Drosophila melanogaster: one gene and its partners. The protein of the gene in region 2 binds, or shares a complex with, the protein of the main gene of each other region. Each region holds a gene or a part of one and is shown on either strand. Other genes may lie near its edges.

What was found.
Region 1: Nup160 (region 2) and Nup214 share a complex: the UniProt entries of both Drosophila melanogaster proteins name them as parts of the nuclear pore complex.
Region 3: Nup160 (region 2) and PCID2 share a complex: the UniProt entries of both Drosophila melanogaster proteins name them as parts of the nuclear pore complex.
Region 4: Nup160 (region 2) and Nup93-1 share a complex: the UniProt entries of both Drosophila melanogaster proteins name them as parts of the nuclear pore complex.

The regions. Positions count from the first base shown.
Region 1 is NT_033778.4:22,918,714-22,926,655, reverse strand, and holds Nup214 (nucleoporin 214kD), read left to right. Parts: upstream 1-1,913; 5' UTR 1,914-2,001; coding exon 2,002-2,037; intron 2,038-2,093; coding exon 2,094-2,232; intron 2,233-2,291; coding exon 2,292-4,024; intron 4,025-4,077; coding exon 4,078-4,259; intron 4,260-4,316; coding exon 4,317-4,658; intron 4,659-4,714; coding exon 4,715-5,910; intron 5,911-6,008; coding exon 6,009-7,491; intron 7,492-7,584; coding exon 7,585-7,609; 3' UTR 7,610-7,719; downstream 7,720-7,942. Other genes in the region: ReepA (receptor expression enhancing protein A), read right to left, coding at 1-30; CG30187 (uncharacterized protein), read left to right, coding at 7,884-7,942. UniProt on the Drosophila melanogaster protein: Part of the nuclear pore complex. Serves as a docking site in the receptor-mediated import of substrates across the nuclear pore complex including emb, RanGAP and phosphorylated Mad. Protects mbo/Nup88 from proteasomal degradation at the nuclear pore.
Region 2 is NT_033779.5:11,122,170-11,129,813, reverse strand, and holds Nup160 (nucleoporin 160kD), read right to left. Parts: upstream 6,038-7,644; 5' UTR 5,936-6,037; coding exon 5,839-5,935; intron 5,775-5,838; coding exon 5,672-5,774; intron 5,619-5,671; coding exon 5,127-5,618; intron 5,070-5,126; coding exon 4,888-5,069; intron 4,815-4,887; coding exon 4,405-4,814; intron 4,332-4,404; coding exon 3,665-4,331; intron 3,600-3,664; coding exon 3,494-3,599; intron 3,426-3,493; coding exon 3,264-3,425; intron 3,209-3,263; coding exon 2,966-3,208; intron 2,911-2,965; coding exon 2,792-2,910; intron 2,737-2,791; coding exon 2,122-2,736; intron 2,057-2,121; coding exon 1,535-2,056; intron 1,479-1,534; coding exon 1,081-1,478; intron 1,008-1,080; coding exon 888-1,007; 3' UTR 824-887; downstream 1-823. Other genes in the region: RfC38 (replication factor C 38kD subunit), read left to right, coding at 1-823; Csl4, read left to right, coding at 6,344-6,502, 6,557-7,012. UniProt on the Drosophila melanogaster protein: Functions as a component of the nuclear pore complex (NPC). Involved in poly(A)+ RNA transport. Required for nuclear import of Mad. May play a role in double strand break DNA repair. Essential for nephrocyte development.
Region 3 is NT_037436.4:11,624,749-11,628,242, reverse strand, and holds PCID2 (PCI domain-containing protein 2), read right to left. Parts: upstream 1,803-3,494; 5' UTR 1,764-1,802; coding exon 576-1,763; 3' UTR 528-575; downstream 1-527. Other genes in the region: CG6083 (uncharacterized protein), read left to right, coding at 2,259-2,327, 2,484-2,626, 2,691-3,392, 3,463-3,494. UniProt on the Drosophila melanogaster protein: Required for the export of nuclear mRNAs and involved in mRNA trafficking in the cytoplasm.
Region 4 is NC_004354.4:13,821,059-13,826,438, reverse strand, and holds Nup93-1 (nucleoporin 93kD-1), read right to left. Parts: upstream 3,614-5,380; 5' UTR 3,513-3,613; coding exon 3,352-3,512; intron 3,289-3,351; coding exon 3,108-3,288; intron 3,029-3,107; coding exon 2,225-3,028; intron 2,152-2,224; coding exon 1,523-2,151; intron 1,439-1,522; coding exon 742-1,438; 3' UTR 529-741; downstream 1-528. Other genes in the region: Clic (chloride intracellular channel), read left to right, coding at 4,431-4,514. UniProt on the Drosophila melanogaster protein: Required for nuclear pore complex assembly, maintenance and function. Required for nuclear import of phosphorylated Mad via importin msk. Has no role in classical nuclear localization signal (cNLS)-dependent nuclear import via importin-beta.

The DNA of each region.
Region 1 (7,942 bases), on a different chromosome or scaffold from region 2:
CGGCGGCTCCTGCTGATAGATTGGCCTCATGGCAACGGGGATGCATTGCCCGCAGCACGGATCGCAGATAGTTCCTGGCCGCTAGAACGCCGAGCAGAGACTGCCGTAGCTCGGCGTCTAACGCTCAGGCGAGAGGTCTATTAATAAACCCACGATCGGGTCTAGAGAGAACCAGCAACAGAGGAGCACTCAATGTTTACACGTAGGAATGCGCCGCAGTTCCGAATGTTGCGACAGAGGCGTTCAAGAAAATAGCACCTCAGTATCAAGATATTTGAATCTTTAATTTGGAAAGGATACTTTAGCGAGTAATGGGAGAAATCGCCTCGATTTAATTCCTTAGATGTAAGAACTATATATCTTGACTATGATGTTAGTTATTGATTTGAACCGATTACTAATTTCATTATCAAAAGTAAAGTCTAGTTCGAAGTTAAGATGTATTGACATAATGGAAAATGCTAACGGAGGTATTGTGTGCTTGAACAAATGAGGTGCTAGCTACTTGGCCGCGACTGTGCCACACTATGGGCAAGCGTCGAGTTGCGATCTATAAATATTGACAACAATAGCGGAGTCACAGAGAGTCGCCGGGTCGCCGACAGGCTATATCCACATGTTCTGCACCCAAATCGGGCGAGGCGAGTGCGTCGGCCTCGGGAACACAGAGACGCAGAAGCTTGGAAAGTTGCAACTCCAAATTAGGAGTTCAATCGAGGGTTACACACACAGGCCGCGCACACTCGCGCACAAGTGAACGGTACTTTGCGACAGCTGATTAATAAACAAACAATCCGGCAATCAGCGAATCGAGGAACCACGGAAATGTATAAAACTTAGAAATCAGAAGCGTGACGCCCACACAATTAGGAAACGACGACGGGCTTCGTAGGTGCTTTTCTCGCTTTCGAAGGCCGAGCTTGAAAAGTTAGTTTTGTTTTTTTTTGGGGGTCAGCAGCTGTAGCGCTCTCACTCGCACTCACACTCACTTGCGGTGGCTATGAAGTCGGGATTTGCTATAGTAGTAATCGGTTATTACTCACATTATAAGCCGCGAAAACAGGCTGCTGATCATCTTGAGCGTCGCCTGGCTGCTCTAGGGGAAAACTGTAGGGTATTTAATTAGAGTCCACTCCGTTATCCTGGCCTCCTTTCCAACCCCAATTTTCACCTGGAATTTCCTTGACTTTTCCGTAAATTATGTGATTTGGGGTACTTTATGGGCAATATCGAAATAAAATCCACAGATTTCTGTTTAAGTCGATTTAAATTTCATTTACTTTTTGGTAACTGCGATTGAATTCGAAGGATTTCGAGATTAATTGGCTACGCAATTTTTAGCACCGTGTTGCGTCGCCTGTGGATAATTGCGAATCGCCAGCTCGACCTCTACTACATGGCTTTGTGCAATCACAGTCGAAACAGCCGATGCTTTGTGCCCTGCTTTGCAAATGCATTCGCATTGCCCGCGAACAAATCGCTTTTGTTTAATTCTCAGCAAACAAAAAGAAACGCTTGTAGGACAGAGACAGACGAACAACAACAAGGCTGCTGCGCTAGCGATGTGCTGAAATTTTCGTTCTCGCACATACTGTCCAAAACAAAATACCGTCTGAAAAAATACCAACAAAGTGCAATTGCCATATGGTCAACCGCTAAGACAAGATTGGTGAATACTTAATTCAAGCTAAGTTGGTTTCTTTTAGTTAACAAGTTCATCAGTTAGTTATAGGAGAAAACTATTTTTATATAAGATTTTATCCCATTTTCTTTTTAAAGGAACATCTATGAAATTTAAATCAGATTGTATTGTATATGTTGTTGGATTTTTTGGTGGTGAGTTTTTGTGGTGAGTTTCCTGAAAGTGACCGTACTGCAAGTGGCGCGCTTTTTGCTTGCCAACGTTTCCAACGATCTCAACTTGCAGCCACACCATCGACTCGATTGGGAAATCGACAAGCCGCAAAAAATTTGGCGAAATAGGAGCGAAAACAGACAAAAATGGCGCAGAATGCACCAGACTGCGAGGACACGCAGGTAAGCACAATTGCATAGCACTGAGATGTCAAACATTCCATTGGTTTTGGTCGCAGGACTTTCAATTCAAACTGCACCACAAGATTGTTGCGTTCAAAAAATGCGGTGAGCCCCGCAGCAATGTGAACCTGCTGGCGGTCTCCAGTAGCCGGGGATTGCTCTTTGCCGGGAGTCCAACGCAGCCGGAACTCAAAGGTAATGTAGCTTGAGTTAGCTAGGCTAAATATATAAATTTATCCTGGCACTCCTTGCAGTGATTATTGTAAAGGATTTGGTCAATGCGAAGAGCACAGCCCAACAGCCGCAGGCGCGTCTGGTGCCACTGCCCAGTATTCCGAATTACATTGCCTGCAGCTCCGATGGCAACCTGCTGGCCGTGAATCACACCCAGAACGGCACCAGCCTGCTCAGCATATATGCGGTGCTATCGTTCATGACCCCTGATGTACGTCCTGTTTATAATATTCGCCTCGCCGCCGAGGATCACGTGCACGGCGTCCAGCTCCTCTGGAATCCCGTGCTGCCCAACAGCCTGGCCGTTGTTTTGAGCAACGGAGCGCTCGCGATGTATGCCCTGAAGGAGGGGGGAAACTTTGAAATGCACTCGCTGGACAAAAATCAACAAGTTAAGTGCGGCTGCTGGTCGCCCAAGGGCAAACAGATCGTTCTTGGTTTTCCCGGCGGCACGGTGAAGCAGTTCAAGCCGGATCTGACTCTGGCCAAGACGCTTTTGTGTCCTCCGAATATACATGATGCCCCCTTTGACACCATTGCTATACAGTGGCTGTCGACTTTCCAGTTTGCAGTGATCTTTCTCCAGCATGGCGAGGACTGTAGCCCCTCGCTTTACATTCTAAATGCTCCCAAGGCTGGTGCGCCCAGCTACATAAACTACTATGACATCTGCTATAGCATGAACGGCCCGAGGAATCATCAGTTCGTATTTAGCCATGTGCCCCAGTGGAATCTGCTGCTCGTAGTCTCGGCCAATGGCGTAGAGGTGGGCATCATGCGGTCAACCGAGGCCGGCGATACACCCGCTTGGCAGCAGCTTACATTGCTGGATGAGGCACGCATTGAAATGCCCCTAAGTGAGGACAAGGATGAGACCTTCCCGCTGGGCTTTGCCTTCGACACTTCTACAACGCACCAGCTGACGATAAATGAGAAGAAGCTGCAGACTATGCCCATGGTTCATGTTTTGAGTTCGGATGGAGAATTGCTCTCGTTCAACTTTCTTAATGTGCTGCCGACGGCGGTGTCTGTTTGTTCGCCACCTCCTCCAGTGGCCGATACTTCTGGGCAGTTCAAGCCGTTGAATATGCTGCTTGCTAGTGAGGAAGAAGAGCAGCCAGCTTGGGCAGCCAGTCCCTCCAAGGCTCCAGCTGCAACTCCTGCTGCTTCCTCGGACATATCCTTTGCATTTACACCGAATACCGTTACTTCAACCCCAGCTCCCTCGAAGGATAAGCAACCATCATTGTTTTCTGGCTTTGGAGCAGCTGCAGCTAAGGCACCTGCTCCGCAACTATCTTTTGGTACTGCTCCGACTTCTAGTCCGGTTTCGTTTGGTGCTCCAACTACCAATGCAGCCAAGCCAACAACACCGTTTGGTGGGTTTGGCACGCAGGCAACGACTACTGCCATGGGAAGCATGTTTTCGGCTTCAGGAGCAAATGCCTTTGGGGGAATGGCATTGAATAAACCGGCTATTGCCAGTGTGACACCCCGAACAGCGGCACCTGGGTCAACAGTACCCGCAACTCCTGCTTCTGCTCCAGCAAACAAACCACTGTACACGGTTCCTTTAACATTCACACCAGTGGACACAAAACCAGCCACTTCAGCTCCTCCACAAATCGCAGATGAAAGTCTTAAGCCTGATGACACTGAGCCTATTATCAAGGACATGATTGCCCTACAAATCGAAGCCTTTAGCAAGGATATCCAAAAGCAAAAGGAACAGACGAAGGAACTCCTCAAAGGCGTAAGTAGTGTTGGTATTACACTGCTTCATGTATTAAAGTTGTTATTCCGCAGATTGCAGCACCATCTGCTTTGAGGGCATACGCAAAGAGACTGGATGACCTCCAAGAGCTCAATGAACAAGCCAAGGATGTGGAGTTCGAGTTAGATGTACAGGGATTGCGACAGGGTCTTAATGAGGCCTATGCCATCGTAGCAGAGTGCCGCGGGAAACTGGAGATTTATAGAAAACCAGAGTGGGTAAAGGACTCTTTGAATATATAAGCTATTTAAAACCCGTAATTTTCGTTTAGGATTACGCGTTTAATGAACTCAAGCTCCTGTGATCCCTCTGGCCGTCGCATGCTAGCTCGTCTTCAGAGCTACGTGGCTGCCAATGAGGCCCAGCTGCGTCTTGCCCAGCAGCATGTCGATTTGCAGTGGGAACAGTTTCAGGATGTTGTGCGGCGCAATTCGAAGTCTCGCATGCACATGCCTTGCCTAGAGGGAATCTATCAACGACTGACAAGACTACAAAATCTAACTTCTAACCAGCGAATTGTACAGAACAACATCAAGTCCAAACTGAAGGAGCGCGGATTGCTTCAGGCCGCACTGCTCGACCAGGAGAAAAGTCGCACCCGCACCAACGAAGCGTTAGTAGAAGTTATTGTGACCTCTCTCTTTATGCGACTATAACTTTTTTATTTAGAGTGGATACATTGACCGACTCCATTCTCACGATGAGTCTTAGCCAGGTAGTGGACTCTAATGCAGCCAAGCTCACTCGAGAAAGACTACAAAAAATCCGTAATATTGTTCAGCTGCAGAAGATCAATGTTATTTGTCCCCAGCGACCAGATCGAGTGGGGCTCAAGTCGGAGGTTATTTTGGAAACGAAACGTAGGGCGGAGCAAATTAAAAGGGCAGCAGCCAAGCCTGCAACAGCCAACAAATACACCCAAGCAGCAGTCGCTCCGCCTTCACCACCAGATGTTGCACCCACGCCAGCTGTTGCACCCATGCCACAAGCAACTGTTACAGTGGCTCCTCCGCTGCCTAAACCAATGCCATCTATACCGTCCGTTGTGGAAAAGCCTGGAGTGCCCACACATCCGACAACTCCAGTGGCTACGCCATTTTCCTTCAGCCAAAGCATCCCATTTGTGAAGACATCTACTGTGACGCCAACGACAAATACTGTGACTCCTGGCGAAGCAGCCAAGCCGGGTTTATCCATTTTCGGCGGCAGTACTATTTCCAGCTTTAGTTTTGGTGGTGGTGCTGCCAAGTCGGCACTCTCATTCGGAACAGGATCGCCAGCCGTGGCAGCTCCTACACCAAAACCAAACCCGTTGTCAGCGGTCGAAAAACCAACACCCGAGCCGACTAAGCCCAAAGAGCAGAAAGCAGCAGAAAGCAAAGAATTCAAGGCGGTACAACCCGAAACAGAAGAGTCAAAAGTACCCCAAAAACCAAAGGCAGAGACGGAAAACAAATCCTTTGGATTTGGAGGATTTACAGGAACTGGAGGTACTGTCGGAAATACTTCCAGCTCCCCGTTCAGCTTTGGCGGACTGGGTTCATCTCTAGGCTTCGGAGGAACAGCCGCTGCTGTGCCAAAATCTGAACCTTCCAGCACAGCAACCACTAGTGTAGCCACATCAGCTTCAACTGCACCATTTGGCATCTTCTCAGCAGCTTTGGCGAAACCATCCAACTCTGAACCGATCACCACGGTCACTAGCAACACAACCACCATCACCAGCAAGCCTACGAATGTAATTGCTTCGAGCAGCGTAACTGATGCTCCTTCCGTCACCACAACAAATGCAGTGACCAGCAGCACGGATCCTATTGGAGGCCTCTTTAGCTCTGTGACTATCTGCAAGCCCAACACTCCTGCAGGTAAGCTATAGTTTCCTTTATCAATATACCTTACGCATAAATGTATACGCTTATTTGGCATAAACTCTAAACGGCTATATATGTCTTTTACTTTGCAGATACCACCAAACCAGCCAACATTTTTGGAGGAGGTTTATCCGCTGGTAGCTTTTCATTTGGCGGAACGATTGATGCCTCAAAGGGATTATTCGGCAGTACCAAACCAGTGGCAACAGCTCCCACAAGTGTGACGGAGGCGAACAACAAAACTGATCCTATTTCAACCACCCCATCAGCCATTTCGACTACTACTGCTACGACGACTGTGTCTAGTCCAGCAGTAGTTCCTGCGGCAGTTACCGCAGCAGTTCCGGCAACATCGAGCACAACGGTAACATCTAGCACTGCTGTTCCCGGCAGTGCGTTCTCCTTCTCAAACGCATTTAGCACCCTAAGTGCGGGAGGTGCTGCAGCTCCAACTACCAGCGCTTCAGCTCCCTTAGCTGCCAAAAGCCCAACCGCTACATCTACAGGCAATAACTCGTCGAATTCAGTGTTTGGTGGTGGCTTCGCAGTAGCAACATCAACAGCGGCTCCAGTGGCTAGTCCCTTTCAGTCAGCTGCAAAAAGTCCAGTTTCGAGTGCAAACATTTTTGGCAGTATACCTAAGGCGGAGACCAGCGTTTTCGGAGGAGCTACAACTGCTCCTTCAAACACCACGGCTGCGGCAACACCAGATGCACCACCAGCGGGTCTCTTTGCATCGGCCGCGATTAGTAACCCTTCGCCGTTTGGTAGTCCCACGACTAGAGCACCAGCCTCTGGCGGTAACATTTTTGGTCAGGCTGTTAAGCCAAGTGTCTTTGGACAACCAGCACAAGCAGGCGATAGCGGAGGATCTATTTTTGGTGGCGGATCCGCCAGTACACCTTTTGGATCCAGCTCAATTTTTGGAGGAGGTAATACGCAGGGCGCAGTCGGCGCTCCGGCTGCAGGAAGTACTTCAATTTTTGGCCAAAAAGTGTTTGGTCAATCATCAGCGGCTGCACCGGCAGCAGGTGGGAATATATTCTCCAATCCCGTCGGCAGTCCGCAAGCTTCTCCTTTTGGTGGCGGAGGAAACTCTATTTTCGGATCACCAGCAACAGCTCCGCCCGCATCTGGCGGATCGATCTTTGGGGGTGGCAGCAGCTCTGGTGGATTTGGCTCCTTCACGCAGACGACACCAGCTCAGGGGGGCTTCGGTGGTGGATTTGGCCAGGGCGGGGGTGGATCTGTGGCCCAGACAGGTTTTGGCTCACCACAAGCCCCGCAGCAGCAAACTACGACACCAGGTGGGTTTGGAGCCAAGCCCGTTTTCGGTGGATCCCCGGCCTTTGGAGCTAGCCCCACTTTTGGGGGAGGTGCCACCTTTGGCAGTCCGAAGGGTTTCGGTGGATTTGGCGGTGCCAGCCCAGTAGCCTCCCCTCCACCCTTTGGTGCTGCTGCAAAGCCGGCACAGGGAAACATTTTTGAAACGTTGGGGGGACAGGAATCGGGACTCTCTTTCGGAAATCTAGCACAGACTGGAAACTCAAATGCACAGAAACCAGCGTTTGGCGGGTAAGTTCGACCGACATACATACATATGCATACTTATATAAGTATTTCCAAGAATGCATACGACTAACGAAATATTAAATTTTACTATTTCAGATCGAGCTTTATGAATTATCGTTGAGTTCATAATAAATGTGTTGCATAACTCAATAGTTTTGCTTGTTCAGTTTTCATGAAATAAGAATACCAGTTAAAATTAAAAATCTTAAATCTTAAATCTTTATTAAAATTAAAAAAAAAAAAACTGTGTTTTTACTTCACGCGAAATGTGTGTACTGAACTTTATTTAGTATTTATAGTCTAGTATGATAAGGGTTTCTTTTTTTATGAAATACTTGCTATGGTATTATGCTCATGCTAAGGTTATCACCTATTTCATTCGAACATCTCATGAGATGCAGACACGTCTGGCTTGGATTCCCGTCATTTTTTGGTTCCTCAAAGATGTGGGTGC
Region 2 (7,644 bases):
GGTGATGACGGTCAGCAGCAACTACCACTTGGAGGTGAATCCCTCCGACGCTGGCATGTACGACCGCACGGTGGTGATCGATCTCATCAAGCAGGTGGCCCAGACGCATCAAATTGAGATTAGTGGCCAACGGGAATTCAAGGTGATTGTAATTTCGGAGGGCGACGAACTCACCAAGGATGCCCAGCACGCCCTGCGCCGTACGATGGAGAAATATGTGGCCACGTGCCGGATAATCATATCGGTGAACTCCACATCTCGGATCATTCCGGCCATACGGTCGCGTTGCCTGGGCATACGGGTGGCGGCTCCCAACGAAACGGAGATCGTGTCCATCTTGCAGAACACTTGCAAGCGGGAGGGACTCGCACTGCCCGTGGAGCTGGCCAAACGGGTTGTGGACAAGTCGGAGCGCAATCTCAGGCGAGCACTTTTGATGCTGGAGGCCGCCAAGGTGGCCAAGGCGCCGTTTACCGCCAATCAGGAGATTCCCGACCTGGACTGGCAGGTGTTCCTGCGTGAGACAGCATCTCAGATTATCAGTGAGCAAACGCCTGCCAAACTGGAGAAGATCCGCGAACGCCTGTACGAGCTACTCACGCAAGGCGTTCCACCTAATCTCATATTCCGCGGCCTGGTCGAACAGCTGGTTAACAATTGTGATATGTCCATCAAGGCAAAGACGCTCGAGTTCGCCACCGAGTACGAGCACCGGATGCAGTCCGGCGCCAAGCACATTTTTCATCTTGAAGCGTTCGTCGCTCAGTTTATGAACATCTATAAAAAGTTCCTTTCTGAGCTGGACATGACGGATGATTTTTAAACGATTTACACGCTTTAGCATTTAATTCAAAAAACTTATTAAATAAACTGATTTAAACGAACTATTAACGTTCTTCCTGAAGATCCGTTCGCATCTGCAGAACGGCCATGCTCATCTTATCATCGGTGGTGCGCTTTATGGTCTCAATATATCTTTGAACTTCTTCTTCGAGTTTAAAGTAAGCCTAAAATAGGAATAGATTTGGAATATGATTGGAATGTATTTTGAGTAGAACGAAATTTATATGTATGACTTACCATTTCATAATCAAGATCATCCTTGCCATTAATCTTTAAACCGTGCAGCAGCAAATCGATCGTGCTGATGGGGAAGCAGAGCTGTGGGTTTGCTATGTTCACCGCGTGTTTGAATTCGAAATACTCGCTACCTGCTCCCAGCATGCCGGCGATTATTTCACATCCCAGATCTGCGGCTTCCAGCAGACGATTGTGTTTCACAAGTAAGTGGAGCAGTTCCCGGGAGTGGGATAACTTGTAGGAGTTTATCAGCCACTGGGGCAAGAAGGCGTTTAACCCGAGAAGCCTTTGAACCACGCTCTTTCTTATCAAGGTGGAGTCTTTTGCCTCGTTATCCACAACCAGTTTTTGAAGTAAAGTCCAGGCCATATCGGCAGCATTACTTCGATGAGGTAGATCTGTTATAAGACATATAGTAAGCCTCTTTTTTTCATACACGTTAAAAAATCCCTACCTGCCATGTCGTTGTTTTGCAGCCAGTTCCAGGCGTCCGACGACTTGTCCTCAGTGGCAGCAACACAAGCGGATGTCAGACTCTCGAATATGGGGAGCACAGAGAACGAGTGTCCCCGCGAAAGTTTCAATGCCGCGGTGTACAGGCCGGAACTAGCCAGCAGGTATGATAGCTCCTCGGGTGTGGCCCGCTCGTAGGCAGCTGTATCTTTGCGGTAGAAGGAAAGCTCACGTAAAGCTTCTGCGTGCACCAGTTCCCTTCGGATATCAGCCAGCTCTAGAACAACCACCTCCTGGCCTCTCTTGTCCTCGTCACATTTGGGCTCACCATCGTCGTTATCCTGATCTATGGTAATCACCTGCTCATCACCAAGAACAGGCTTGGCAATCCATCTGTAGCGGCTGTCAACTAGGTGCAAACAGTTTAGGCAAATTAACAGCGAGGAGCAACGTTTCTCTAGCGCGTTTGGTGCATCGCTGTCTACTTGAAACCGCATGGCCTGCTCATACATAACCGTAGAAGCTGTTCGGAAACAAATTATTAATGCAAGAAGAAATGGAAGAAAATAAAGTAATTTTTATGCAAACCTTTTCTCATGTTACCCTTGTTCGTATGGAATGCATACAAAAAGTTGTAGACTTCGTTCTGATCGATGCTCATTGATCGTGCCCGGGATTCAACAATGCTCTCGAACTCGTCTTGCAACCCGATGTAGGAGAACTGCATAAGCAGTGGCAGACATTTATTCTGGAACAGCGTTATGACCAACTGGCGAAGGCAATCCTTACGCCTTGAAATATCTGCATTGTTGACTAAGGCGGTGTACGCCTCCACGTAGTGTCCCAACTGCAGATGATTATTGAACACTATTGACTGGAACATGGGCAACTGAGGATCATCTGGCTGCAGCACCCTAATGGCCATGTCAGCCAGTTGAATAATGTAGTCCAATGCGGAATGCTGTTCAAAGAGCTGGATAACCTTAAGATAGTAGTGAACAATTGCCAGTTTTGTGTCTTCGGGGGAAATTGTATCGCCACGGCTGACGCTATTCTGTAATTTGCCGTATAGAGGGGTATTTTTCAGTACATGCTCAAAGAGGAAGTCATCCTCCACAATGCCAGACTCCGCCTCGTGAAAGAGATGCACGGCCTTGTGGGCCTCACCGCAATCCAATAGAGATACGGCTAGCATAAAGCGTCCTGCGGAAAAAAAGGATTAATTTCAAAGCTGGGAAAACTAGCAAATAATGCATACTGGCATGTTTTTGTACGGAACACCAGTTTGACAAAATGCGCACGTAATCCTGAACAATGATGTGATGACAGGTCCCAAATAACCATTCCGGAAATACGTAAATCGGAGATCCCGGCCAACTAAGAGATGTTTGAAACTTAAAACATGATCAATTTTTCTATATATTATACGCACAGCATCTTATTGATGTATCCAACAAGTTGGAGCAAAGACTGGCGTAGATTCAATTGCTCCGAGTCCAGCGACAAACTGTCATGCTTCAGCAGCATAGTCAAGGCGCTGAACAGACCTTTCGATTCCAGGAACAGTCGGAGCAGAGTGGTCTGATCGTTCCCATTATGTTTCAGATGGCTGGAGTATGGTCGATTATAGCCGCTGAAAAGTTGGGCGCGGCTCAATCGTTGAATAGATGCCTCGCTAAAATTAAAATAGAAGTTAGAACTGTGCAATACAATCAATTATATATCCTTACAATCCAGCTGGGGTACTCGATGAAATGGGTGTCTCGGCAATCCAAACCAGTGTATAATATGAGTTCAAATAATTTAAATTTGTTAAAACATTTTCGCTTTCCATTTCGTTCTGACCATAAGCCATGTACTGCAATACCAAAAGGTTTCGGCAAACAGAAAACCTAGGGACACATGATTTAATAAATGATAAACCAAGTTCAAAGTTTTTTAAACTATTACGAAAGCTCACCGTATCATTGCCATTTGCTTCACTGTTTCGGACAAAATAGAAAGTCCATATTCGCTACCCATTAGAGCCCCAGACGACTGCAAGAAGCGCGTAGAAAGGGAGTAATCTATAAAGTAGAAATGAAATATATGAATCATTTTCAAACATTATATATATTTATAAGTAATTTACCATGCGGCGGTTCATCTGGATCAATCATACACAGCACATCGAGCAGCATTTCCAAAGCGGGTTCAAGATTTGGTATATTCTGCAGCTTCTGTTGGATTTGCCTCACACAGTTTGATGGCAATATTGGACCATTATCATCGATCATACTGATTCTAGCCACCAGCTTAGATATTACTTCAACCGGTGACTCCCGCTGGTAAAGCTGTTTATCTAGCTCGATTTTAATGTCCTCCGAAATTAGTTTATCAAGCAGTGTCACCACATTCATGAGCTCCACAAAACCCTTGGCCATTTCGGGATCGTTGCGAAATAGTGGCGCCACATATGTCGCCACTTCATCGTTATGCTCGCCGATGAGCAACAGGTGCTCGAGCACTTCGCAGGGGCGCAGCAATGCGAATGATTGCCTTCTAACCAAACATACTGCATCCATTCCACCAAGAACGGCGAGTCCTGTCGGCTCGGAAAGCTTAATGTGATACTGTTCGCAGCAGGAGTAAAAGCGATCCCACAGCCGAGTGGATATCTCCAAGTACTCCTCATCGGTGACCACAAAGTCTTTCAGTTCGTTTTGGATTTCATCTTCCACGGCCTGGCATACCTGCTCCTTGAGCACTGACATGGAAAGTTGCTTTACATCGAATTGCAGGTTAACGCGTCTGAACATCTACGATACAAAAAATTCAAATTACTAAACTATTCCAATAATTCATAATAAAGAATGTTTTGGTTATACTCACATATAAAGCCTTGGCAATTACATTTCGGTCAAATCGACCAGGATGAAATATATAGCTGCAGTAAGTTTCGCGTGGATCCACTCCCTGCTCCATGGTGAGACAATACCGATCCGGTGGCGGTTCTAGAGCAGCCGAAACCCATTTGATTGCGTTGTTGGAGGCAAAATATGCTGCCGAGACATGGAAATCGCCTTCAGCGTTGCTCCAAAGGGCCCAGATGTGCGAGGATGTGGCATCGAAGTCGACCAAATCCGTTTGCGGCGCCGGCACCATGTTCTGCACCAAATTGATAACGCTGGCATCGTCGGCATCGGGCATTATGCTAACGCATATAAACTCAGCTCGGGAATTGTGCGAGAGAAATAGACAGAAGTTTTGATCGCTTATTTTTCGGAGCTGGCTGTTTTGTGCTGTTAAAAAAAAGAATATAATCCCATTATATCTAGATCATAAATCTAAATCGTAATAATATTTTATACTCACGTCCTTGAGCTGCTGAGTCCTGTCCCAGTTCGGTGGAGCAGTTAATGCTGGCTACAGTCTGCAAGTTATCCACTGACCATAGACGCAGCTCATTATTGCGATACAGAACCAGAATGAAAATTTCCCCCCCGATTTCACTGAAAGCCATGGACGTGGCTGCCTCCAACGTTTCAGAGCGGCCGCTACAATGATTAATGAAACATTAGGGATTTGCCATTTATCGAGGTTTATCCACTTACGTGAGGGCACCCTTGAGATTCGACAGAAACCATGGCATTAGCTTCGGCTCCTTGATTTCGTGGGTGATAGTATGGCCGGTGGAGCATTTCATAACGTGAAGCAGTAGTTTGCTCTGATACGCCACCGCAAAGTAGGCTGACTGGGAGTCTTGAGTGAGGTACGATACAGCCGCGTTGGGCATAGTTCCAAAGCCATCCGTGACATAGTAAGTGCTGGGATCATTGATCTTGTCATTGACGTCGTAGAAAATGGACTGGGATAGCAGATCCTCTGGAGAAGCTGCGCCACCTTCCTGCCCAGCGACCTTCAAGGGAAACACATAGCGATGCACACTGCTGACCGTGACCACCAGCAGGGTGACGGATGTACCTTGCTCCGTGAGTGATACATTCAGCACAGCGGAGTCGGTGAATCGCAGACGCAGGTGATTCCTCTGCAGGGAGATGTCCAAACTAACCTCTGATAGTTCCAGGACATCCTGGTATGTCCGCCTGCAAATCAGTGGCCATGTGAAACTAATTTAACGATTCTGATTTGCACTTACCAATATATGAAACGGTTTCTGGTCTGAACATTTTTCGTATTCTTGTAGCAATAGCCGCCGGAGGTTTCGAAGGTTTTTAAATCCTGCAAAGTGCTCTGGGTTCCTACATTTTGCGGAGGAGCATTTGGTTACTCAGAATTTCTCTGGCAATCTTGCACGAAACTCACCCGTGTTAATTTTCACCTCGATCCACTCCGCCGGACTGAGGTTCCGCGGTATGACCTCGCGGTAGCTCATGTTGGCTTGCAGTTTGGATGTGGGCATCTTGCTAGCACAACAAATTAATATAAAAACCTCAACGAAAACGGAAAATTATTGGCGGCACCGGCGTAAACACGCTCAGTAGTAGTGTTGGAAAACGCTTACGCCAGCGGTGCACACCAGGCAAAATAGTCGACATAGCTTTTTATACTCACATACAAAAGTTAATTACAGAAGTTAGTTAAAAATTGTACATTTTCCTAAATGTAATTTCATGACAATAAAGTTTATTATAGCAAAGCAGGAATGATATAAGATGCCTTTAAATCTTGTGATATTAAGAAAGTTGTCGCTAGCATTTTAACAATTGCCACATATTGGTCACACTGCATTGCACGTGTGTTTCCATTTGTTGATGCGGCTTTATTATTTAGTTTATTTTTTAAAATAAAAACTGTCTCTGGCCTAAAAATGAGTGAACAGCAGGATGAGACTGTAGTCTGCCTGCCCGGGGAGCGACTCTGCAGAACCGAGGACAGCATAGTCCTGGGCATAGGCACCTACGAGCAGAATGGCTACATTTACGCCTCCAAGTCTGGAATTGTCAACATCGAAGATTCGGGTGATAAAGTAAGTAATCCTGGCATTTCGTTGACTCTGGGAACCAATTAATCTCCATTTCAGTGCCAGGTGGTTAGTGTGCATAAGCCCGGATTTCATCTAACCATCCCAGCCACCGGAGACGTGGTCACAGCCAGAGTTCTCGTCACAACTCCAAAATTCGCCAAGTGCGCCATTTTCTGCGTACGAAATGTGCTGCTGGAAAGCAGCTACCGCGGACTTCTGCGCAAGGAGGATGTCCGGGAGACCGAAAAAGATCGCGTCGATATCTACAAGTCCTTCCGGCCGGGCGATGTCATCCTGGCGAGGGTCATTAACCAACTGGAGCAGTCCTTCCTCCTGACCACCGCCGAAAATGAACTCGGCGTGGTCATCGCCTATGCCAGTGATTACCGGAAGACCCGGGTGCCCATGGTGCCGGTCGGCTGGAGCGAGATGCAGTGCCCCCAGACCACGATCAAGGAGCCACGGAAAGTGGCTAAAGTTCTGCCTGAGAGTTCAATAAATGCTGTGAAATAAGGTCAATCGCATGTTAATCAGAAGCTTAAATTCATTTGTGGAACTAAAAATGTTTTAGTAAGTGATTATTAGCCAAATAATTATATGTCTTGGCAACCAGAGGACGCTGAATATGGATACAGGTTTATGTTAGCATTTTATTTCCATAGCAACGTTGATAAGTAGCTATTTGACAGTTTACATTATTTCAAATCATTAAATAAATCTATAATTAAGTTGTAAAAGTTCAAAACAAGCTGGTTTCCATAGTTTAGCTTTTATGATTGATACGTATCTTATATTTGTTATTTATTCATGATTGGTTTGTTATAATGATTCAACAAGAGATTAGAATTTAATATTGGATCGTCATGCAATTGCTGTTTTTAAAAGTATCTCTATAGATTCGAAAGTCATGGGAATAGATTAAAGAAATTGTGCGGTAATTTGTTCTAGCAACTTAACAAAACATATTTTATGTTTAAAATAATTCATAAACACAAGGTAATCTAAATATATGCAGGCACATGCACTTTATAGGTTGGCAACATAAAAACTTTTAGGGTAAACGACAGGTACTTATTCCAAGTAATCCGAATTTCAATAACATGCAATTGCACGTGTTCCCAAAAAAAAAAATATATAATCATAAA
Region 3 (3,494 bases), on a different chromosome or scaffold from region 2:
AAATGACAACACGTCGCCGGCTGAGAAATGGTTACTAGCTAACTAGATCTAATCTTCGCCACTTGTCTTATGTACACTTTGCGCGAATGAGGCTCTAATCATTTACCAGGTAATACCACAAGTATTGTGTTAATTTGTTTAAATTCGCTCAACTACGACAATTCATGCAGCTGCGTTCCAAAAAGTTCAGAGATGAGTGATAGTCGGTGGACCTAGAGATGTGACCGAAACCGATTCCGCTGTCGATACATCGGTTCGAGCACAAAAATCGATATATATCAATTCCAAAGTTCGATTAAGTTTAAAAAGTGGTATTAGTTTAAAACCGTTGAAAAATAAACATATTTATAACCAAAAATTATATTATTAGTTCATAAGTTGATTTGAAACATATAGGTTTCGAAAAACCAAACAAAATTATAACCAAATAGAATTGAAGGTACTTTAAATTCAAAGTCTTCAGGTCTTATACTCATCGTTGGTGCCCTCCATTCACATGCCCCATCCAGTAAACTAATACACTGATTAAATTGGATTCTTTTACTCTTAAAAATTCACAATAATTACAAAATGCACTAAAGGGACACTGAGGGGAATGGATTTTGCTTCGACACGACCAGTTTGTTGTGAGCATGTGAGATGTACCCCTTAATCTTTCCATCGTAAATGAGATTGGCCACGATGCAGTGCGTCTCGTCCAGAGAAACATCGGTTAAGCCAACGAAATGCAAGGCGGAGAGGAAGTCACCCATGTCCAACTGATGCGATTTCCGGATGACGAACACCTTCTTGAACAGGTTGCGATACACGAGGAACTTGAGCTTCTCCACCAGCAGATAGATACCACTCCTGATCAGCACCAGCTCCTGGTCCCTGACAATCTCATCAAAGCGATTCACATTGCCAGCCTTCATGGCCATAGCCAGATCGAGAAACAGCAGGAGATCGTAGCGCTGCAGTAAGGATTTGCTGGGCAGATATCCCAGCAGCATCTTCACTGGCACCAAATAGATGAGGATGAGCCTCTTGTTGCTGGCAAACCGATCCGGGCAGTTGCTAAAGGCATACGACAGATACTGTACGGCTGCCTGGTAGTTGGAGTCGAACATAGCCCGTCTACCTACAAAATACTTGTAGGTAATTTGCTCCGGCAGCGGAAAAGAATCCTTGAAGATGCAATTATCGATGGCACGGATAAGGGGCTTGCACAGATGCAACTTGTTGATTCGAAAATAAATCTTGAATAGCTGGTTTACGAGGTTCATCATGCCCAGACGCTTGGTGTCCTCCTCTGAAGCTCGTCCATCAGCGGCACAAACGCGGAAACAGGCCATTATGCAGTCGGCAGCCTTCTCCAATACGTGGCCAGGTGTGAATCCTTGACAATGCTTCTCGCAGGCCTGCGCCAAGTACCTTAGATCCAGGCACACGCGGTACATTAGTGGCAGGCACCAATTCTCGTCCTTCAGCTGCTGCAAAAGCCTCACAACGGCTCCGCAGGCTGCCGACTGTTGGGTGTAGGCTTCCATGTAACCAGGAGGCTCCTGTGCCAGGTGATACAGCACCTTCAGGTGGGCGGACACAACTTCGTCCAGTGGCGGTTTCAGGAATCGATCCACCAACTTTTCCGGCTGGGCAATGTACAAATTGTGGTTCTGAACGTGCACGTCTCGTAAGGAGAGATACGTGGCCAAGGACTCGCCATCTAAATCCTGGGCGGCGTGCAAAACGCCGGATAAATAGTTATTTACGGTGCCGAACATTGTTTGTGTTTTTCGCAGGCGGCAAAATTAGAGATGGTAGGTCAGGCACTATCTGCGAATGCGATGTTTTCATCGGAAACTTCTATCGATTGTCTTTGTTTTTTATAACGCGATAATACAAAGAATATTTTTTCAAAAGTTTTTTTTTTAACATTTTATTTTATTTTATTAAAAAAAGGTATTTATTTACATTATACTCGGTTTATAAAATAAAACTCTGAACGCAGAAAAAGAGTTTTTTGTTTTAAATTTTAAAATTTCCCTCTGCAGCGAATCGATTATATTCCGCGAAGGTCTTTTGCTTGCCCAAAAGATTCTAAATTTAAACAATTTTCGTACATATAGTTGTGATAGCAGAGCTGTCACAAGACATGCTGTTTCTAGCCAGTTTAATAGGCCTTTGAGTATAGTTCACTTAGTAAATTACAAATTAAAGCTTTCCAAAAACGAAGCCAGTGCAACAACATATTTCACAAGGAGCAAAAGGATTCAAACATGTCGACACCGAATTTTCTCTTGAGCAATGGTAAAAATATGCCTATGTTGGGTCTCGGAACTTGGCGGGTAAGTACTTTTACATAGATATATATTGTTATTAAATAATAGCCAGCTGAAATGTGCATTTCCACTGCATATTTCACGGTCAATGTCAAAGCTCTTCGGGGTCAAGCAAAAGCTTTTGATGCACCTCAGCTTTTTACGTTTTATTCGCCATTTTAGAGCCCGCCGGAAGTGGTGACCCAAGCAGTAAAGGATGCTATTGATATAGGCTATCGCCATTTTGACTGCGCTCATATCTATGGCAATGAGGCGCAAGTGGGAGCTGCTCTCCGGGAGAAAATGGACGAGGGAGTGGTCACACGGTAAGTGCTGCTTTCAGGCCTAATCAATCGTTTATCTAAGCCATAAATACATATTGCACTGCAGAGATGAACTCTTCATCACGAGCAAACTTTGGAACACACACCACAAGCCGGATTTGGTGCGCCCGGCATGTGAGACAAGCATAAGGAACTTGGGAGTCAAGTACCTAAACCTCTACCTGATGCACTGGCCCATGGCCTACAAGTCGGGCAGTGACAACCTATATCCCACGTGTCCGGACACCAATAAGGCCGCATTCGAGGACATCGACTATGTGGACACGTGGCGTGCAATGGAGAATCTGGTGGACGAGGGTCTGTGCCAGGCCATCGGTGTGTCTAACTTCAATGAGCAGCAGATGAATAGACTTCTCAGTGTGGCCAAGCTTAAACCGGTAGTTCTTCAAATCGAGTGCCACCCGTACCTTAGTCAGAAGCCATTGATTACGCTGTGCTATGACAATGCCATTGCTGTGACCGCCTACAGCTGCCTGGGATCGGGACATACGCCCTACGAGAAGCCCGGCGCTTATCCACTGCTCCAGCATCCGACCATCTTGGCTATAGCTGAGAAATACGAAAGGACTGCGGCACAGGTGCTCCTACGCTTTCAGACACAATCGGGTATAATTGTCATCCCAAGATCAGTAAGCAAACAGCACATGTTGGACAACTTTAAGCGAATCTGGGACTTTGAGTTGGCCGTCGATGACATACAGGCCATTAACGAATTGGACTGCAATGGGCGTTTTATGACCATGAAGGCGTAGGTGTTGCTCTTTTCATTTCCTAGGTTTTAACTTGAAATATCTCGAATCTTTCTATTTTTCTCCTAGGGCCTATGGACATCCTCATCATCCATTTGAAC
Region 4 (5,380 bases), on a different chromosome or scaffold from region 2:
CGGCGCAGACCGACCTTCCGACCTTCGACTGAGTGGCGCACAAAACCAGAACAAACTATCGCAATCAACTTATTCCAATTAACAATATTATCTTAAATAGACAGAAGTGAAAACAAATGCATTTATACGAAACGAGGGCCAAGCTAATGGCTTTTTTTTTTCTTCATTTTTATGGCAGTGTACTAGGATCTCGAAACGGATCTGTTAGAAACTATGTAATGGATTCCTAAAATCTCCGACAGTTGGCAGCCATTGTTGGCAATACTATTTTGATACAAGTATATTGATGTGTTCTTCATATGTATGTCCTGGGGTGTTCCTGAGACCTCTTGAGGTTTCAATGCAATAGCAAACGGTGTCTCAAATTATGCAATAAAATACTTAATACTTCTTATCTGAAAGTCTTTTGTGGATATTCCAGTGGGTTAGTGGCTTGTTGTGATACATACCATACATTCGGTTATTAAGTAGCGAAAATGCAAAATTTTAATTGTTTGCCTAAACCGTGAGTAATTAACATATACGTGTGACATTTTGAATTTTGTTTAGTTTTCTTATAACACATACATACAAAATATTTTCTTTTAAATTTTTCGAATGCTTAATGCTTTAAATGCGTTGCGCTTAACAGAAAAATTCCAATAAAATTATTGGAAAGAAAAAAATATAATCATCAATAAAATTTTAAACGAACTGAATGAAATGCATATAAACGATAACTAGGTATTAATCTGGCTAATGTTAGTGCATAAGGATCTCCAGCTGGACGAGCCGCTGGTTGGTGGTCGATGGCATTCGGTATGGAACGCTGGCAGCCATGTTGGTGAATGCCTTGGCCCTGTCTCGCAAATGTTTCACGGCGGGCTCCTTATTGACGCACTTGCTTTCATCAAAGAAACCGGAAGCTGTTTCATTCGAGTCCATTAGCTTCACATACTCCTGGTATACAATGTCCATGGACGCCAGCAGGATATCGGGCAGCACTTTAATGACCTCGGGACCCATCCGCTTTATGTTCGTCACACACTCGTCCACTTCCAATGAGCTGGCGGGTATCAGATGATTGTTGGTCAGGATTTCTAATGCCGAACGCAATGCGCCTTCGTGATAGTGGTCAAAGAACTTCATGACCTTTGTCAGCACCGTATATGTGACAACAACTTGAACCTCTACGTCCGATTTACGCACGACCAGCGCCGCATCTAGTCGATTGATAATATCGCCCAGCCGGTTACGCACGCTTCCATTCTGCGTTGGTTGGTGGACCACCTGTGCCAGTAGCGAGTTCACCAAACGCAGTGCCTTGTCCAGCTGGCCACCAATAAAGTAGAGCTCGATGGCCAATTCGTAGTCGCCGCGTTTCGACAACTCATCGCCCACCATTTCGGCCAGAGAGTACTTATCGCATTCATGAATTTGAAATTCCGCATATATGCCGCTAAATAAAGGGGAATGAATAAACCATTAGCTATTTGCCAAAAGGATTTTGAAATCTTTTAAGAGTACCAAAAACGTAACATACCCATAGCGCAAGCCGTTTTTCTTATCCTCCGTCCCGAAAATCAGCTCTAGCATTTCGTCGTCGCATTTCTCAACTAGCAGATCGCAGACGCAGGTGAGCATCACGTTGCCGCGTCCGTTCTCGGATTTAAAGTTGCGCAACAGGTAATAGTAATGCAGCGCCTGCGTGGTGTCCGTTCTCTCAAAGCACTTGGTGTACATGACGATCAGACGCACAAGATTGAGTCGTTTCATTGGTTTTGGGTCGTCAGGGTCGGAGCTCAGAAGGGATTGTTCCACGGAACGTGGTGTTCCCAGCATGGATATCTCGTTTAGGGCAATGGCCATGTGGATAGCGTGCGTTCGATTTTTCTCGGTGCGGGCGAGGAATTCAATGGCGGCCTCAAATTGGCCGGTAAGCGTCAGCACCTGGAAGTATAGCGCCGCCTTCTCGCGCGCATTGAAGTAGTTCTCGCCGTACTTTTCTAAAATGAGCGATTGCAGGCCGCTGAACGTTAGCTGCTCCGTGTTGCTGTCGCTTTGGTCCGACCTGCGCAGAATGGACAGTTGCATCCACAGGAAGTCGTCGATGCTGCGCATTAGTTCTACGTGAGTGAAGTGCGGATCACACGCCAACAATACGACGTATACCTAATGGAAAAGAGAAAAACATATGATTAGCACGAATATACGCAACAAGTTGTAGCAAAAGATGAGCACTCACCGCCTTTTTGTAGGGATCCGTACAGGCGCGCAGTCTACTGTTGTACTCCAACTTTAGCTGACCCTCAAGCTTTACCATCAAGTTGTCCCTATCGCCGTTCTTTCGCAACGTCAATAGCGTAAGCAGGTCGGGGCAGGTTCCCGATTCCTTGAGATACAACGCAGCCGCGTCCATATCGCCACTCCGCAAGCTATAGTAAACATGTGGCCACAATGGCTGGCCATTGTTCACGTCATGCAGCCCGTAGAGGGCTCGCTGCCCCTGGAGAGTAACGCCCACATAGGAGCGGACCATATGGTACACGCTGGGGATTCCTCCCCGCCGCGCTTTGGCCAAATTCGCGACGATAAACTTTCTCATATACGTCCTATATCTGCGCTCCAAGTACGTGCGGGCCTGCTCAACGAATTGCGGTGATGTCTGACGATTCTTGATTGGATCGATGGTGCTCGAGACTGGCGGCAACGCGGTCATAAACTGCAATACATTCCACATCTCGGCTACGGACTCATCGTTGAAGGAGTCTTGGACCACGTGGGCAAGGGTCGACAGCAAGTTAGGGCGTCTGCCCAGGATGATCGACTGGTTGTGGATGGCGATCTGTTCAGCGTACATCTGCTCATGGCCATTCAGTTGGGAGTACGGAGTGGGCTCATCAGCCATGGCCGTGGGCACTATCTGAAACTGGACGTCGGGGAAGTCCTGTTGGTTTGGTCCGACCAGAGCGTTTAGCAGCGCTTCCTTCTCCTCGCCCCACTCCGAGTAGATGCAACGCCACTTCTGTCGCTCCACAGATTTAAATATCTGCAATGGATTGGTTAATGGAGATAGAAAGTTCAGAATTTTGGGTGTCTGCCTGAAGCATGTCATTTGGCGCACTCACACTGCGATTCGTCTCATCGATAACTGAGAGTATGGCGTTCTCCCGCTCGTTCTTCAGATAGGCCTGCACATTGGTCTCCGTCACCGGATCAATCGGCTCGAAGGTTTGGCGGGCGCTGAGCGACTCCAGCTTCTGTGTAAGCTTGGGCAGGTCCACGCCCTTAGAGCCGAGCAGTATGTGGCTGCATTTGAATGACCGGTTAATATGACAATTTTTGGCGCCTGGCCTATAGCGAACTACTCACGCCTGCAGATCATTGGTGCCCATTTGGGTGACACGCGAGTGAAACTCCTTGGTTGCCTGCAGAACCTGGGACATGGTCCGTTCCACGCCCGGCACCTCCGTGTCCGTATTGGTCTCGTTCGTCAGGCGCTGGGCCTGCTTCAGCAGTTCCATCAGATCCATGTCGTGATATTGGGATGGAAAAGCCGGTGCCAATAAAATGATATTTCCAACGAAGCGCACACCAAGCTGCTAGTGCTGCCACCTGGTCGCAGTCCGGATTATTTCGGCGCCATAAAATGTTTGCAATCGGTGGTATTCTTTTTGGTATATTTAATAGTACAACTGTTATATGTTAGAATAACTATAATAATGTCTACAGATGGTATATAATTTAAAAGGAATATTTGATAATTAAAATCATTAAATTGAAAAATTTATATAGATAGCAGACTAAGAAATTATTTCTCAATACCTAAAAGTTGTTATAAAAACAAAGAAAATAGTCGATTTCCCCGAACGCGAAATTTCAAAATTTTTATGGAATATCGATATATTGGGGAATAAATTGAGAACAAATGGGAGTTTTGTAGGTATAAGGTATTTTTGGTATTACGCAATCTGTTATTGAAATGTCCCAATAACAACTGTTATTGAGAGGGAGTTGTAAGTACAACTTTAAAAACATTTGGTATTAGCTTGGTATTTATAGGCCGGCCGAAAGGCAGGACCGTCTGGTAACACTGAACAGCAGGCGTTAGTGTATTTCGCGCAGTGCAGATTGGTTTATTCAGCGGCTAACCAATTCAATCGTGAATAGACTTTAGCAGCGCGCAAATCGTAGAACAGAACGGCATATTTTTTTTAAACACTGCGAGGCGAGCTTCTTCTTCCCTCCGTCTCTCTGTGTGTGTGTGAGTGTGCTGCCTGTGTGTGTTACAGCTTGTGTACGTGAGTGTGTGTATTGGCAAAGGAAATTAGCACAACAAAAGCGAAAAGGAAACGAACACGCACGCACCTCGTCACGCGGATAAAGAAAAAAACTCTTCGATCTGATCAGAGATATCGAGAATAAACGATAAAAATAATAACAATATCGCAATGTCGGAAGTTGAATCGCAGCAGAGCCAGGAGACGAACGGCAGCAGTAAATTCGATGTGCCCGAGATAGAATTGATCATAAAGGTGAGCGAACAGCGACATTTGCATACCCCTGCAGTTTTCCATTTCGCTCTGCGCAAATTTCCGTGCAGAGTGAAAATGCAGCCGGGGCAAAAGCAGAAGCAAATGCAAACAAAGGCAAAAACAAGAAGCGACTGGGAAAACGCGAACTGCCGTTTGTTTCTCCTCCTCCTCCCTCTTTTCGGCTTCTTACCCCTGTTCGTTCTTCGTTGTCTTCTTCTTCTTCTTCTCACTGTGGCACTTTGCAGTGTGTCACATTTGGTTAAAACGAACAGAATACGTTTAGCACACACCGCCCCCTCCCCTCTCGCCGACGTTCCCCTTTCGCCTTGCGGTTCCTAAGCATCGCCAAAACCGGTTTTCTCCTTTTCTCCCTATCGCACATTCACACACACATACACACACACATACACACACACGCACGCACACTATCGCATACACATGCATTCGGGCACATCTGCACAGAACGAAATTGTTGATTGAGTTATGATTTTCAGAACTCCATGATTACCATTATAAAGCATCCAAATTAAATATTACAGCATACCTTTTTGGTGCAATACTCTAAAGCCGCCCTTTTTCCAAATTATCCGAGCATACCAAGCTGTTCATATGAAATATCTTTTTAATATTTTATAATTAACAATTAATCATGATATTGCTGTGTGCGCACAGTCTGAAATTTGTGGAACGTAACATATTACTTCGGTTCTTATCTGCTAAAAAATTTAATCACATTTCATTGCGCCAATTGCTCAACAAATGCTCCTTCATCATAGTTCTCCTAAGCCCCCCGCATCGCCCCCCTTCGCAACCATCAGCATGTTTCTCTCTGTGTGTGTGTGTGTGAATTAGAGGTTCTTTTTTAT